Callithrix jacchus: one gene and its partners. The protein of the gene in region 4 interacts with the protein of the main gene of each other region in a biochemical or structural test. Links are inferred from orthologs where the notes say so. Each region holds a gene or a part of one and is shown on either strand. Other genes may lie near its edges.

Region 1 (4,162 bases), on a different chromosome or scaffold from region 4:
AGCCAGCAGGACTGGCACGGGCCATATAACTGCCCCAGCAAGGGCCATCCAGCCATCGGGGGGTCCTATCACCCCACACAGCTTTCCAGCTGAGGCCTATGCAGACAGGCCGCAGACCCACATGGGGCCCTCCTGCCCCAGCCAACAAACTCTTGGCCAACACACTACTTCCTCATGCTAGCCCAGACGAAGGCCTTCAAACAACCAGTGATCTCTCTACTTCCTGAAGCTAGCTCAGATGAAGGCTTTAAAAAACCAGTGATCTCTCTTCTGCCCCTGCCACCCAGGTCAGCCTGTACAGCTCAGCTCCTCACAAGCCCGATCTCCCATTCCTGAAGTGAGCACCCTGGCAATCCAGACTCGTGCTGGGAGCTGGCAGGGGTGCCAGCCAAGGCTGACAATGTAGCTGCAGGGAATGTGCCAAGTGCCTCGCCCAAGGCTGCGGCTGCCTGCCAAGGCCCTGCAGCCCAGCATGCGGGAGAAGAGCAGAGGGAAGCCGGGGTGGTGGCTGAAGTCCAGGTGCCTTTTCTCTGAATCTGCAGTCTGGCCCACACCCGGGATGCCCCTCTCCGTGGAGTTTGGGGACAAGCCTGCTTCTCTGCTGGTGCACAGTCAGTGAGTCCAGGTCCCAGGGCAAGAGGTCACCTGACTCAGGGAGCACACACAGGCCTTCAGGGGATAAATGCCATTGTGCCCTTCCTCCCAAGAAGCACTAGGGAACTGAAACTGAGTCGCAGAGAGACGGGCTCAAGGCAGCTGCAACCCTAGGCATGGGGAAGGGGAGGGGCCGATCCGAGATGAAGGGAGCGCTGACCTGGAATAACCTTTCCCAGCGCCTGCCTAGCCTGCCCGCCCCGGCCTGCCAGGAGCAGGAAGTGTGTCCCGCCGTAGTGGCAGCCTGGGGCCGGCATCTCTGGTCTGGTGGCCCAGGAAGGCAGCTGAGCCAGTTGGTAGCTGGGCAGGCCCGTGGGCTCAGGAGGGGGTGGCCTTGACCCCAAGTCCTACTGCTGCACTGGGCACTGCTCATTAACCTCCGCTTGGGCTGAGTCATGCCCATAATGCTCGCCTGCCTGGCTGGCCAGCTCTGCTGGACGCCGGCCTTCAAAGGGCCCAGGGGCCCAGGAGGGGCTGAGTAGCAGGCTGCGTCCGGCGGTCGCCACTCATGAATGGCAGGCATCTCCTCCTAGCTGCCTCCAGGAGTGGGGCGGGCAGGAGCTCTCAATGCTCAAACCGCTAGGATCGAAGCTCTAAGGCCAGGACAACCTCCTTGAGGAGGAGAGGAAGCAGAAGTGGCCTGGAGCATGCAGGCAACCAGCACAGGACAGTCCCCACCCAGCCTTCCTGCCTCTCCACTACCGCGCCTGAGTCCACAGTGGCCCAAGGCCCTGCCCACCCCAGCCCTGCTCTCTCATGGCCTGCCCACACCTTTGGCATCAGCCCTGGCCTGTCCCGGGCTGTCCCCACCGCTCACGACTGCCTGCCCCGGGCCTCCCTGCCAAACGTTTCCCTCCATGCCCAGCACCCCAACCTGCCCCACCTCATGGCCCCCGTAGAAGGCGATCTCCTCCGAGTTGGCCACCACACGGGAGTGCATGTAGCGCAGCTCCCCCTTCCGCCGTGCCTCCTCTGCCACCAGCTCCCCGAACTTGGGCGAGAAGGCCCGCAGCACGTTGGCGGTTAGGAACACCACGAGGCCGGCAATGGCCGAGGGCCAGGCTGTGCCGGCCCCACGGGAGCGGGCAGCCCGAAGCAGGGTGTAGGAAGTCACGGCCACATCCAGGAGTGGCTTGGTCAGGTTGGAGTAGAGGTGGGCCACAGAGGCCGCGAAGGCCACCACGTCCTCTGTCAGAGACTGGTCAGGGTTGCGAAGCCGCCCATCCATGTTGCTGACTCGGTAGTAGGTCTGCTGGGAGAAGTAGAGGCTGTAGGCGTGGGCCACCAGACGGCTGCGGAAAGACAGGGCCAGTTGGCCCTCCAGGTAGCGGATGGCACTGTTGACGAAGGTGGCAGGGAGGGCGATGAGGAGCCACTGTAGCAGCTGCCAGCCGAAGGCCCGAGGGTCCTTGCGCACGATGCAGCGGGCCAGCCTTCCGTCCAGGCGGGCCACATACACAGACAGGAAAGTGCGGCTCACCAGGGCGGCCGAGTGCAGGGCCAGCAGCCCTGTCTCCCGGCACAGGACCCGCGGGAACAGCAGCCGCAGGAGCCACAGGAGCCGCTGCAGGAATACCCGGTTCATGCCGGTCTTGGCCGCCGCGGCCCCGGAGGCCTCCTGTGTGGGGTCCCTGGCGGGAGCTTGAGGACCCCTGGCCACGGCCAGGCACTGGCGCACCAAGGGGTAGGCTTTGTGGGCTCCATAGGCCGCGAGGGCCAGGAGCACCGCCGTGCGCTTCAGCGTGCTCCCCCGCCAGGGCCGGGGCATGGAGAGCACCGGCATGTCACCTGGGCTGGCTGGAGCTGGGGCTGGGGCTGGTGCCTGGGGCAGCAGTTGAGGCAGGTGGCTGGAAGGGTTGTTGCTCGGACCCTGGGCCTGTTGTCTAGGCAACTGGAAACCTTGCGGTGGCCCCTGAGACTGTCGCTTTAGGCCCCCGGGGTGGTGCTGGGGCCCCTGGTGCAGTGGGCTCAGGGCCCTCCAGGGTCGAGGCCTCTTCGGGCAGCCCAAGTTGAGGAACTTGGTTCTCCTGTCTTGTCAGTGCCCTGGCCCCTGAGGTCAGAACCTTGAGAGGTCTCGGGGAGAGAGGGCGTCTCTTCCTCTCCACCTTCTCCTCCTCCTCCCCTGGTGGCGCCCCTCCCCGGGGCACCAGGCGCGTCCGTCCGTTCCGCAGCCTGGTTGAAGCGACTGTGACTCCTCCACTGGCCCAGAATCCCCGCCCACTCACCCCTCCCCAGGGGCGAGTCGGGGGAAGGGGAGGAGGCGGAGGAGGGGAGAGGGGCGGAGTCCGGGAGCGGGAGCCCCACCCCGTTCTCGCCCCACGGCGGGGGCGATGGCCGCGCGGGCTAGAGAAGCGGCCCTAGCCGGCCCGCCAAAGCCCCGCCCTGTCCGCGTGCCCGCTTCACCCCGCCCTTCTCCCCGCCCCGCGCGCCCGGAGCCAGAGGCGCCGCTTCCTCTCACGCCCGGGGCGCTGGCCCTCCGTTTGGGGGCGGGGCGGGAAGAGGCGGGGAACGGAGCCTCTGAGGCCTCGCGAGGGCTAGTGGGCGGTGACCGGGGGGCGCTTCCGGTTTCCGGCCGTGGGGTAAGGGGCGGGGCTGGGACTGGGGCTGCTGTGGGAGAGTTTGGCGGCTGCGGTGGGGCTTGCGGACTGAGTGTGGGAAACTCGGTGAGCGGGCTCCGCGCGCCGGGCTGGGCTCCGGGGCTGCCGAGGCTCCCAGGCTCCTCGATGAGGGAGAGAGGCGAGCAGCGCTGGGAGGCCCGGGGGCCGGGGAATCTCGGGGCCCGCAGCCTACCTGGGAGGGGCAGGGGCGAGGGGAAACTGGGCGGCATCTGTAGGATCTGGGCTCGGGGGCGGGGCGGGGCGGGGGGTGGCGAAGCCCCATCTGTAGGAGCGGCCGGGCTGGGCCTCGGGGACGCTGTGCCCTGCCGGAGCCACGTTGGGGGGCCTCCGGAGCGCGTGGCCGGCTCTCGCTCTTGGTGGGCGCTGTGGCCGGCCGGGGCTGCTGGAAGGGGCCCTAGCTTCTGAGAAAACTGCGTGTAGAACTTTCTCTGTACGAGGCCTTGAGGTGCTCGATCGAGACCTGCCTTTGCGCCTGGCCCCGACTCCTATCCTCTAGGAGTCGCTCTTGCGGGCCTCCAGCCCACCGGAGGCGGAGCGGCCCCGGGCGGAAGGCTGCTTGAGCCCCGAGGGAGGTGCTGGATTCTCTCGCAGGCGCCGTGGGGAAGGTGGGGGGGGGCGGGGGCGTCAGCAGCGCTAGGACGAGGTGCGGCCCAGGGCCCTCCTGATAGCAGGGATTTGGGCTCGCAGAGCTCCCGCCTCTGCAGCTGAGCTCCGCCTGGCGGGGAAGGGAGGGCCCGATTGGTGCCAAGGCGTCTTGTTGGCGCCCTGGTACTGCTCTTCCGAAGAACACCTTTCCAGTTAAACGGGCGTCGGGAGTCTGTGGCTCCCTGAGACAGGGATTGTTGGGAGAGGTGGCTCTAGACGTGTTGACACACGTGTTGGAGGGGGAG
Region 2 (3,629 bases), on a different chromosome or scaffold from region 4:
TTGTTTTATGCTGATTTAACAGAACACTACAGACTGGGTAATTTGTAAACAATAAAAGTTTATTTGCTCACAGTTCTAGAGGTCAGAAAATCCTAGATCAAGGGTTCTGCATTTGGTAAGGGCCTTCTTGCTGTGTCATAACATGGCAGAAGGCATATCACATGGCAAGAGAGTGCATGTGAGAAAGAGGGCCAAACTAGCTTGCATGATTTGTCAGGCTCAAGTGATCTGCAGGCCTCAGCCTCCCAGTGTTGGGATTACTTATACCATCTACTGCCTTCATCTCCTGCCACTAACACTTTGCTCCAACCACACTGGCCTCCTTCCTGTTCCCATGACATGCCACTTAAATACCTCTGTACTTTTGCTGTTCCCTATGCCTCAAAACACTCTTCCTTTAAAGAGCTGTAGGGCTTATTCCCTCAACTGCTTCAGGGAGGCATTCCCTGACTGTATGTGCAGTTCAACCCCTGTTCCTACTCCTGACACTCCCAATATTCTTCCCTGTTTTGTTTTTTCCCCTGTAGCACTTAGCACCTTCAGGCTTACTATATATTTTATTTATTTTCTTACTGTTTCTCCCTTATTAGATTGTCACAAAGGCAGATATTTTTAAAATACATTTTATTCATTGCTATATCCCTAGCTCTGAGAACTCTTTGGTATGTAGTTGGCGCCCAACAAATATTTATTGAGTTAACGAATAAAATGTTATCCCTCTAATAACCCAAATTTAAAGGTCTAGGGTATTTTGATTTCTACTTTGCCTTTATATACCTCATTTAGTCAGTGACTACATCCACTAAATCTATTATATCAATCCTGCTTCTCACACACTCTAGTTTGGGTCTTCATTATCTTTCAAATAGTCTAAGGTAAAAGTATCATAACTGATACCCCCAAATTAAAAAATACCTATTAAGTACCTTCTATTTGCCAAGCAGCTTAGATAGTAGGAATACAAAGGTGAACATAACCTAAATCCTTTATGAATTACAACCTCTTTTGACTTTTTTTTTTTTTGAGATGGAGTTTTGCTCCGTAGCCCAGGCTGAAGTGCAGTGTTGCAATCTCAGCTCACTGCAACCTCCGCCTCCTGGGTCCCAGTTCAAGCAATTCTCCTACCTCAGACTCTCCCGTAGCTGGGATTACAGGCACGAGCCACCATGCCAAACTAATTTTTGTATTTTTTAGTAGAGATGGGGTTTCACCATGGTGGCCCGTCTGGTCTTGAACTCCTGACCTCGTGATCTGCCTGCCTCAGCCTCCCAAAGTGCTGGGATTAAGCACCACACCTGGCCCCTGTTTTGACTTTTACTGACATATCTTAAACACTTCAGACTGACTTCTTTACTGTTTACACGTACGACACAGTCTACTTAAAAACAAACATAAACTGCTAAAAAAACCATCCATTCCTTATGTAAAGATTGTTTCATAATGGCAATTAAGAGCTTCTACTATTAGCTTTCAACCTAATTTCTCATATTATTTCTTAATACTATATAGGACAACTGCCAAACAAATCTCTTATTTTCTGCCTATGTACTTTTGTTCAAGCTGGTCTATCAGCTTGATAGTTTTCGTTTCTTTATTTAACTGATGAAAGGTTGCCTAGCTTTCAAAAATGTAACTTAGATGCCATTTCTTCCTGGATACCACAGTCAAAAATGATAGCTTCCCTCTTCTAAAGTGAGCTAATACTCTGTACCAGTTGAGAGAATACAGCTTAACATTGAAGCAGACCTGGTTTTGTTTATAGTTCTGCCTTATTAAATATGTGACCCTGGATAAGCGAGTCTCTGAATCTCAGTTTTATCACTTGTAAAATGAGGATAATTTCTATCTCTTTGGGTTGTTGAAATAATTGAGATACAACACACAAAATACCGTGCGCAGTGTCTCACATATTAAAAAAGGTTTCAAGAAACCTTACATCTCTCCCCAACTGTCGTATTTCTTATCACACTTTCTGCTTCATTACAATTAATGAAGTATTTGTGTCTTACACCACCTCCCTTCCAACACATTTTAGAAAGACAGGAATTATGCTCTATGAAGCTTTGTATCCTCTACAGCACCAAGTTCAGTAACTTGTAAACAGTAAGGTAATATGTACTGTTTAACTGAACAATAAACTAATCAGCAAACCTATTTTTGCTATATATTTCTCTGCCAGTTTTGAAGCTCTTAACTGAAAATATAACTGGACCAAAACAGTAAATACAAATGAATATAAAGAAAACTAATTTAACAAATCTGTTCTTGAAATTTGAGATTGTTATATAGTATCTGAACGTGTTCCCTTACCTGTTAGTTCGTCACTGTGAGTTGACAACAATTTCCAAATGAGGTAAGGACCACCAAGAGTAACGGCAAAGAACAAGAATATTGGCCAAGATTTTGCTGAGTTAGCTGCTTGGTCCTCAGCACCAAGGTATGCCACAGTTCCTTCACTTTCTGCCCAGAGGTCCTCATTCTCAGAGCTTCTTCTTAAACCTAACATCCACTGTAACCGTCTGTAAAGATACCGTATAGTCCTAACTAATGCAAAAGCTGAAAACACTTTTGTAAAGTGTATTTTCAATCGGGAAAAGTGATTTGCTACATCCAATACAGCCCTGAAACTGTTATAGACAGCTGAAAAGGTAGCATCCATCATCATACTGACAGAGGCAAAAGCATGCACAATACTTTCAATGGACTGAAATGCACCCCTGCTGCTTTCTTCAGCTTGCTGAACAAATCTACTGGGTGGAAGATCATCTACACGGAGGCGGTTGTAGCCCAGCCCATTATATCCATAACTATAAGGGCTATAGCTTCCATAAAATGAATTTCCATAGGCACCATATCCAGAAGAAAATGAACTGTAAGCAGGTCTGAAGGTGTTCACACTGCTACTTCCTGTCTGCTGTGATGGCCTTGGAAGAACAGGTGGGGGCACTCTGGTAAGTGCTGGTTGTCCTGGTCTTGTCATTAAAGTAGGACCCAAATCAGCAGATCTAAAACCAAAGAAGATTCAAAACAGTTATTTAAGCGTACAATAAATTCAATTCAAAGTAACTATAAAACACCTCCTATATACCTAGTGCTGTGACAAATTCTACTGATCTAGAGACAGAGTCTCACTCTGTTGCCCAGGCTGTAACACAGTAGCACAATCAAAGCTCACTGTAGCCTCAACCTCCTAGGCTCAAGTGATCCTCCCACCTCAGCCTCCAAAGCAGCTGGCACTAAAGGTGAATGCCATCAAACCTGGCTACTTTTTAAAATTTTTTATAGAGATGGGGTTTTGTCATGTTGCCCAGGCTGGTCTCAAACTTCTGGGCTCAAACAATCCACCCACCTTGGTTTCCCAAAGTGCTGGGATTACAGGAGTGAGCCACTGCACCTAGCCATCATTTTAATGTTTAAAATTTATTTAAAGACAGCGTTTCACCATGTTGGTCGGGCCGGTCTCAAACCCGCAACCTCGGGTGATCCGCCCGCCTTGGTCTTCAAAGCGCTTGGATTACAGGCGTGAGCCACCATGCCCGGCCTAAAGTTTAATAGTTTTCAGTATACTCACAGAAGTGTGTAACTATCACCATGTCTAATTCAGAATATTTTCATCACCTCAAAAAAGA
Region 3 (3,629 bases), on a different chromosome or scaffold from region 4:
AACATTTTCATAGAATGCAACTTATTTTCCAAGTTTAGGAGTTAAACTAAAGAATACACATTTTATAATCAAGCTCCATAAACTTACAGCTTTTTTTTCTGACCAAAAATATAAAATGTTTTGGCAAATAGATACAACATGGTAAAAGCAGTTTGAAACTTGAAACATTCCTTTTTCCTTTCCTCATCTATTTCTTGCTATATTCAAAATGGCTAGTTTCTCAGTATTTTTCATAAAATATAACTATAAGAATAGTAAAATATGATATATCCATTGGATCATTTGGAAACAACTGAATGGTATATAAATACAAGTTCAAAGCAGAGATTTTTTCCCCTCCAAGTTAAGGTCCTGAAAAATAAATTTATAAAACAAATAGGCACAAAAAGCTCATGGAAAACATGTTTCTATTAGAACTTTAACATTTAAATTACAGTGTATATAGTTTTTAATGCAGAGTTTTAGACATATTTGAATCCTGTACATTATAAATAATGAGTCTTTTTTGCTTTAGTTCACTGATAAAATATATTAAATAATGACTAATTACAAATCTAATATTTGTTTTGACGTTCTTTTCAATGTTTCAAAACAAAATATCAGGGTTTTAAAAATTATGTTTTATTTTTATATTATGAAAATTAAGGCATGAAAATTATACACATCTTTCACATGAGGATTTTTCATTTTCTTCTTTACTTTAACAGTTAACTTAAGACACTTGCCTCAGACTTTTCCCCTTACAGCAGTATAAACTGGATAACTACTTTTGTAGAAAAGATTAATGAATAATTTTTAGCAAGGTTAAGTGTTGGTTCCATGCTTCTTAAAATCTTTAAAACCTGCCTCACTTTTCTAGCAGGAAATATTAGTAACTGATGAATAAGTAAGTGATGATACTAACAGAAAATGTTGGACAAATGTATTGATTATGATTTTATATTGCATTACTTCATGTAAGTTGGTTACATTTATTGACAATTAAAAATGCACTCGTTATCACAGTAGAATTGAAAATGTGAAAATGTTATGATGTTCTATAATGACCATTATGAATGACTTCCAGGTACTCTATCACTTGAGAAGGGCTAAGAATCACAGAGTTAACATTTATTATGGCTGTGTCTCAACAGGCAATAAAATTCTAGGCCGCTAACAACTGATCATTCCAATATTCTTCTGGCCTACCAAAGTGGTGTCATAGGCAGCAAGAGATTGAAGTTTCAGTCTTAGCTTTTGTACTTCCAACTCCAGTGCACACAAATAGAATAAGATCTATTTCATATGGCTAGTCCATGCAGATTATTTCTCATTATGTTCAATAAATATTAAATTTACCAAAACCATGATTATTTGCTCTTCTGATTGCTGATGCCTTAGAGGTATGTTCATATTAAGTAAGACTGCATAGTTGCTAAATGATTTCATAACTTTCTTGGTTCATTTTAAACCACAGAACAATGATCTTTGCACTTTGTACTTAATTTTTATTTCTTCTAAACAATAAACAAATAACAATAAGACTACCATTACCAAATTTATTTTATTTTCAACACCTCATCTAACTTTTGTTGCTATTATAGCCTAGTTTGATTTAAAAAATAATAACAAAGAGTACTAAACCAGGGAGTAAAGAACACTTCATTTGATTTCTGGATCTTTCCTCAAATAAATTGCATGATTAGGGCAAGTCTTAGTGTTAATTCTCTCAAAAGCAAAGTAGGAAAAATAATATCTGTCTCAAAACATTGCCACGAGAATTAAAGTGAAGTGATGTAAATGGAGATTGTAAATTATAAAGTACTATTCCAATGTATATGATTACTGTGATTCTCAGAATCCTTAAATTCTATTATATCACTGCAATTCTTAAAATGTGGAATCTCATTCTTGGGCAAAAAAACAAGCTGTGTATTTCTGAACAGAAGTTACAATAGATAATTCTATCAAGTAAATTATCAGGCTGAGACAAACATTGTTTGGATACTCCTTTTCTGTATTGGCAATTCTCTTTTAAAATGAAAGGGCTTATTAAAAATATTTTGGATTCCTACTAAAATTAATTTATTATATGTCCTCATTAAGATGTTTAAAGTCTAAATTTTTAAAATACGGTGTTTTATACATTTTAGCCATGCTTTTTTCTTTGAACCACTGCCATTGAAACAATTTTTATATTGAAATTATTTATCAAACTGTCAGCTGTTTTGTTTAGTTGGCTGCTAGCAATGATCAATATGAATTCTAGCTGTTAAACCTAGTATCAACTATAAATGGACTAAATGTTACCCAAAGTTCTAATTTTATGCACTTGGTATCAACCCAAATGCTGCTCTAAACTTTTTTCTTTTCCAGAATATCTCCCATGTTTGTTAAGAACTTCAGACACATCACATATACATAGTAAATCTGGTATTCATCGTGAATTCACCTAGAAAATCCTGCTTTACAAGTGTATTAGGCCTTCACTAGGAATTAGTATAAGTCATAATGACTGATCTTACATAATGAATTTGTTTATTTTTCTTCTGAAAAGTCAGATCATATACTTCCTTAATACTAAAACCTTATAAAACATGTCTTGCTGCCTTTTTCTAATCTGTGCTTAGCTTAACATACTTCATGCAATATAACAGAGTGTCTTTGAGGCTTTATTTAATAATTAACTTTTAAAATGTGTCAAAACAAATTAAGATGTCTCATCTTCATTTTTAATTGTTTTCAGCACTGAATCTTCTCCCAAAATTTTACATAGTTCATTGAGTCTCTGCTGCATTTTGGGAATTCCAGCTAGCTGAGATTCTAGCTTTTGTTTTTCTTCACTCAATGTCAAACGGATAGCAGTATCCAATTGTTCAAAGCGCCAACCTCCTTCACCATCAAACTGTAATAAATGTGTATGGTATTTCCTGCATAATTAAAATGAAATAAAATTATTAGCCATAATTTTGAAAAGTCATTTTAGTTGTAGGTTTATCATCCAAATTGATACTCAGAGGCAAATTTTAAGTAGGTGCTGCTTTACATTTGAGTTTTAAGGACATATCAAGAATTTAAATACTGTGATTTTTTTTTTAAACCCAAAGTCATTAATCTGATTTTTAGGAAAATATTCTTGTATATTTTTTATATTCTGGATGTATATTAACTATAAAGGAAGACATGCTGTTGCATGTATTTAATTTATCTTTATAATTCACTGTGACTCCTAAATAAATAGTAAGGAATACTATTTCTGTATGGGAGTAAGGAAAGGAAGCTGAGGAAAGAAAGTCAACATTCAAAGGATGTAGGAAAACTAAGGAAAATAAAGGAAATACAATAGCAATTCATTAATACAACATCCTCTGAGAATGAGTTCTTCTACGTAAGTAAAGTTTCTCAATAATTAAAGTTTAAAAACATTTTTTAAAACACCTCTTTGATAGAAGAAATATTTTAAAGATACTTCCACATTCTTATATAATTTAATCTCTCGTGGCACAGTTTCATAATTAGGAACTTCATAGAGGTATGGAGATTATTTTACTGATAAGATAGGAAATGATCCATCTTGTGCTAAGGGAGGCTGAGGCTGCCATTTTGTGGGCTATGTCGGGGATATTTGGTGAGAGAAAAATTGGCAGAGC
Region 4 (4,289 bases):
AGTGTCTCCTTTAGGCAAGAAGTAAATTCTTGCTGGGAGGTCATATCACTGCCTAGGAAAGATTAAAAAAAAAAGCCAAGGTCATTTAGGAGTTTAATTGTTTTCTTGCCTAGACTGAACTGGTTAACTGCTTGGATATGAAGCATTTACTAGTGAATCATGATCACTCCACATCTTGAAAATGCTATGGTTATCTTCATAGTCTTTTCATACATCTATTTAATACACGAACTCTGTTTCAGTTTATTCTCCATGATGGCACCCACCATAACACCGGGACCTTTCAAACGGTCAGTTTTGAATAATCTTTGCTATTACTTTCCAACCTATCTCACACCTCTTCATGAAGAGGGGTTCCCATCCCTTCTCCCATTGCATTTCCTCATCCCATGATTGTGACGTCATGATTGCTATCAACTTTACTAAGATTTCTGGTGTTTTCAAGCAACAAAGACTTAAGAGTCTGTTCAGATGTTTCTGTTTATCTGGGGTCTCCTCACCCACTCTCCCTGCAGCCTCTGAGAGCTTTTGGAACTGCTCCACCAGATGGGGCTCTTCCTCAGCCAACTCCTTCATTGCTTTCTCGAACTCTGCAGTGGCTTGGGAAGCCAGTTCACTGTCGAATAGTTCCTGGAAAAACTTCTCTTGGGAAGCGAAGAGGGCATCCTGCAGGGGAAGGGTGGCTGAAATGTGTCTCTTACTTAGGACTACACTGCATCTGGCCTCTGACAGAAGCCACAGGCAGTGGCTCTGGGAAATGTAGCACCTCCCTCCTGCCCACTTCCACTGGACATTCCTAACTACTGCTCCTAATGAGGACAGCAAAAAAGGCATCTAGCCATTGAAGGAAGGTATGAGATGGCATACTAATCCAACCATTTAAACCTCCTCTTTTTTCAAGGAAGTCTCTTGAGAGTCCTCTGCTCAACTTCAAGTCCTTATTTCACAAGGGCTGAGGCTGGCAACAGCACTCACCAATGTGAGGCCAACTTACCCTCCCCCATTCCCCTCTGGCCCATAGGGGCCTGCCCAACATCTGCTCAGAGCTGCATCCCCATCCCCTCCCCATCCCTTAATTGGGGTAGAATTTATACTTTGGCAGTGTCTCCTGGCGATCTCTTCTGGGGCCCCGAAGCATCAGGGGCTGTGGTGGTAGAAGGGGGTGCTGGGGAGGGTTTGGCTTTATCGAAATCATCAAGAGCACCTTCAGAGACAAGAGACATGGTGTGTGTGTTGATGATAGATAAGGATGCAAGCAAAGGTGGGTGGTTTCTGGACAAAGCATTAGGAATATGATTTTTCAAATTCCCCCACCTCCCCGAACCACCCCAACGAGTCACCTACTTCCCTCTGGATTATGTAATTTACTGTGAGCAAAGGCAAAGAAATCCCTTAAGGCAAACAAGTGTCCATCTCAGAGTTGGGAGAGGATTAAAAAGTTCTGCAGACACATCTCCATTTATAGTGTCTCCCTTGCCACACCCTAATGAATCCCTAAAAATCCCATACGAATACCCAGCAGGAGTAGAGAACACATATGTCCTCATCCCTCTGAACTCAGTCTGGAGCTCTAAAAGGAATAACTTGGTGAGAAAGCACAAGATCCCACCCAGCTTCCTGTTGGTACTGGTATCAGCACAGACTGAGGGACTACATACTGCACTCCATGTGAAGGCATTAAACTCTCTTCTCTTATTCTCCAGTCGAGTGCTCCCCCACAACCTCCTAGAGCTCCCTTTGGCCTGATCTCTGCAGATAACCATACACTAATTCACACAGTCATCTGGCACTCCTCAGAGTTTCAGTTTATTTTTCTGTCTGCCCACATTTCTGTGACTGAACTAGAGATTACAAATTCACCTCTGCCCTGAAAAGCCTGTGTCCTCACCACCACTCTGCATGCCAGGCCTAGGGAGAGGGCACTGGCCCCACTCTGGGCAGGAAACCAACAGGGGAGTGGAGAATAATGCTAAGAAAACCACCACCGTCTTTCAGGAGGGTGAACTGCTTTCCCCTGAAATCACCTTATCCTCAGTTTCTGAAAATAAGGGAAAGGAGTCCGCTTGAGCTACTGACAAGATGAAGTAACTGTAAGGGGCCTAGCGAGAGAGAAAAAAAGACTACGAGGAGAAAAGTGTCTTTGGTGCTAAGGAAGACAGGATGAGACACAGAAGGACGGGCCACAAGCTTGCTGGGAGTTAATGTAAGCAATCAGAGAATATGTGGTTCGCTACCCAATGCTGCTGCCGCTGCTGAAGGGAGGGAAGTTGGACTTTAAAAACTTAGTAACCTAAAGAAAGAGGAGTTTGGAGAGGTATCGTGAAACACCATCCTCCGTTAAGATCCACAATCTAGACCACTGAGGGACCCCTGGTTGAGCTCCCCAGCTCCAGTCGCGGAGGTAGGGCAGGATGACCCAGAGATTTTTGGGGGGCTCGCGGTCACTCTCCGCCCCCATCTAGCCTTTGGAGAGCCTCTCCTGCCCCTTCCCTAATATCTCAGGTTAACTTAACCTTCTGAATGGGTCCTCACACCTGCCCCCTTCGGGTCCTTCCCACTATGAGCTCTTACTTTCCAGAAGCTCCTCCAATTCCCTGTCCGTTTCGGCCCCGACACCACAGTCTTCCTCAGCGGCCGCCATCTTGCTACCTCCGACTTGCCGTAGGAGGCGGGACCCCTTCGGCGCAGCCACGCCCCCCACCCCTTCGCTCCCGCCCTCTTCTGCCTCGAGCAACCAATGGTATTGTTGGCCAGTGCGGAACCGCCATTTTTAAAGGGCCAGGAAGCTTCACTTACTGTGTTTTGGGTATTTTCCCCCTTTCGCCTGAGAACCATGGAATTAGGGATAAGATACTGTTATTTTCTGCCTGGTTTTAGAGGCCCGGAGTCCCAAATTACCTGGCGAAGCTCTTTCATTATTTTTTCCTGAGCTGTGTGACTAGGCCAGACGGGACAAACTGCCTACAATCTATACATATATAATTGAGAAGACAGTTATGGTACGTAACATGCCACTTTCTCTCACTTATTTTTTTGAAATGGAATCTCGGTCTGTCGCCATCTCGGCTCATTGTAGCCTCAGCCTCCCAGGTTCAAGCTATTTTCCTGCCTTTGCCTCCCAATTAGCTGGGATTACAGGCATGCGGCACCACGTCCGGCAAATTTTTGTATTTTTGGTAGAGATAAGAGTTTCACTATGTTGGGCAAGCTTATTGGCCAGGCTGGTCTCGAACTCCTGACCTCATGCGATCCGCCCACCTCAGCTTTGCAAAGTGCTGGGATTTACAGGCGTGAGCCACCGCGCCCGGCCTCACTTCATTATTTCACTCAAATGTTATCTTCTCTGAAACGCTTTCCTTGGCCATTCCCATTCCTTTTCTTGCTAACATTGAACACTATCTGACATACTATCTACTGTACTTGTTTATTCTCCGCTCCCTACTCGGCAGAATTTAAGCACCATGAATGCAAAGATTTTTCGTTTGTTGTCTTCACTGCTGCAAAGCCCAGTTCCTAGGCTAGGGCTTAAAACTTAGTAGGCACTCGCTGGCCACTCTGCTCTCCCAGTGTAAATATCAGGCATATTTGTCTGCCCAATCTAGTGGCACCTCTCATTTCCTATTTTCTATTAGAACTGTTTGATTAAAGGACACAGGGCCAGGAACTTAGAACTCAATGTTAGAAAGAGACCTTGGACTGAGCAGGAGGGCAATTCAAATGTAGTTGTAATAGACTTCCTTTCTCTGACCTGTCTCCTTTTCTCCACCCAGAACCCAACCTCCAACTGAGTGAACAAGGGGATGCTCAGACAGAGGTAACTCTAGATTTCCGTTTCCTCCTTTGGAATTGTTCTATTCAGATTTGTCAGAATGTACCAACTGTTTCACATACAAATCTGTTTTGGCACTTAGAGACCACCTACTGTTAAGGTCTTGTGCTGGGCACATCAAGTACAGGGGGATAAATCAGGACCAGCCTCAGCTGTAAGGTAGCTAAGTGGGGGTGAGCTGGAGGCATGATGAGATATACACACGCTAAGTGTGATACAAGGTAATAATTTTAAATGAAAAAAATAAGTCACCTCATCATTTTCATTCTTAGCTTCCTAAACACACGTTTAAGTACTGCTTCAAGCACCAGATCAGGCACTTTGTCCTTCACAGACAGGGCACAGACTTGTCAAACAGTATCTGTGTAAAACTGGTTTTCCTCCAACCACAAATAGTGTGTTTTGGGATAAAAACATATTTGGCTGAAAGTTACAAAACCTAAATTCCAGCCCCAATTCT

The links.
Region 1: the proteins of PEX19 (region 4) and ABCD1 form a complex in vitro, tested with the Homo sapiens proteins (3 studies listed by BioGRID and IntAct, with this or other methods). The link is inferred for Callithrix jacchus from reciprocal best matches to the Homo sapiens genes PEX19 and ABCD1.
Region 2: the proteins of PEX19 (region 4) and PEX13 form a complex in vitro, tested with the Homo sapiens proteins (2 studies listed by BioGRID and IntAct, with this or other methods). The link is inferred for Callithrix jacchus from reciprocal best matches to the Homo sapiens genes PEX19 and PEX13.
Region 3: the proteins of PEX19 (region 4) and ABCD2 form a complex in vitro, tested with the Homo sapiens proteins (3 studies listed by BioGRID and IntAct, with this or other methods). The link is inferred for Callithrix jacchus from reciprocal best matches to the Homo sapiens genes PEX19 and ABCD2.

The regions. Positions count from the first base shown.
Region 1 is NC_133524.1:149,644,644-149,648,805, reverse strand, and holds the start of ABCD1 (ATP-binding cassette sub-family D member 1), read right to left. Parts: upstream 2,856-4,162; 5' UTR 2,438-2,855; coding exon 1,538-2,437; intron 1-1,537. UniProt on the Homo sapiens protein: ATP-dependent transporter of the ATP-binding cassette (ABC) family involved in the transport of very long chain fatty acid (VLCFA)-CoA from the cytosol to the peroxisome lumen.
Region 2 is NC_133515.1:53,106,795-53,110,423, forward strand, and holds part of PEX13 (peroxisome biogenesis factor 13), read right to left. Parts: intron 3,006-3,629; coding exon 2,311-3,005; intron 1-2,310. UniProt on the Homo sapiens protein: Component of the PEX13-PEX14 docking complex, a translocon channel that specifically mediates the import of peroxisomal cargo proteins bound to PEX5 receptor.
Region 3 is NC_133510.1:36,194,159-36,197,787, reverse strand, and holds part of ABCD2 (ATP-binding cassette sub-family D member 2), read right to left. Parts: intron 2,910-3,629; coding exon 2,690-2,909; 3' UTR 1-2,689.
Region 4 is NC_133519.1:20,233,336-20,237,624, forward strand, and holds the start of PEX19 (peroxisomal biogenesis factor 19), read right to left. Parts: upstream 2,851-4,289; 5' UTR 2,836-2,850; coding exon 2,572-2,835; intron 1,205-2,571; coding exon of another isoform or gene 1,095-1,204; intron 667-1,094; coding exon 501-666; intron 53-500; coding exon 1-52. UniProt on the Homo sapiens protein: Necessary for early peroxisomal biogenesis. Acts both as a cytosolic chaperone and as an import receptor for peroxisomal membrane proteins (PMPs).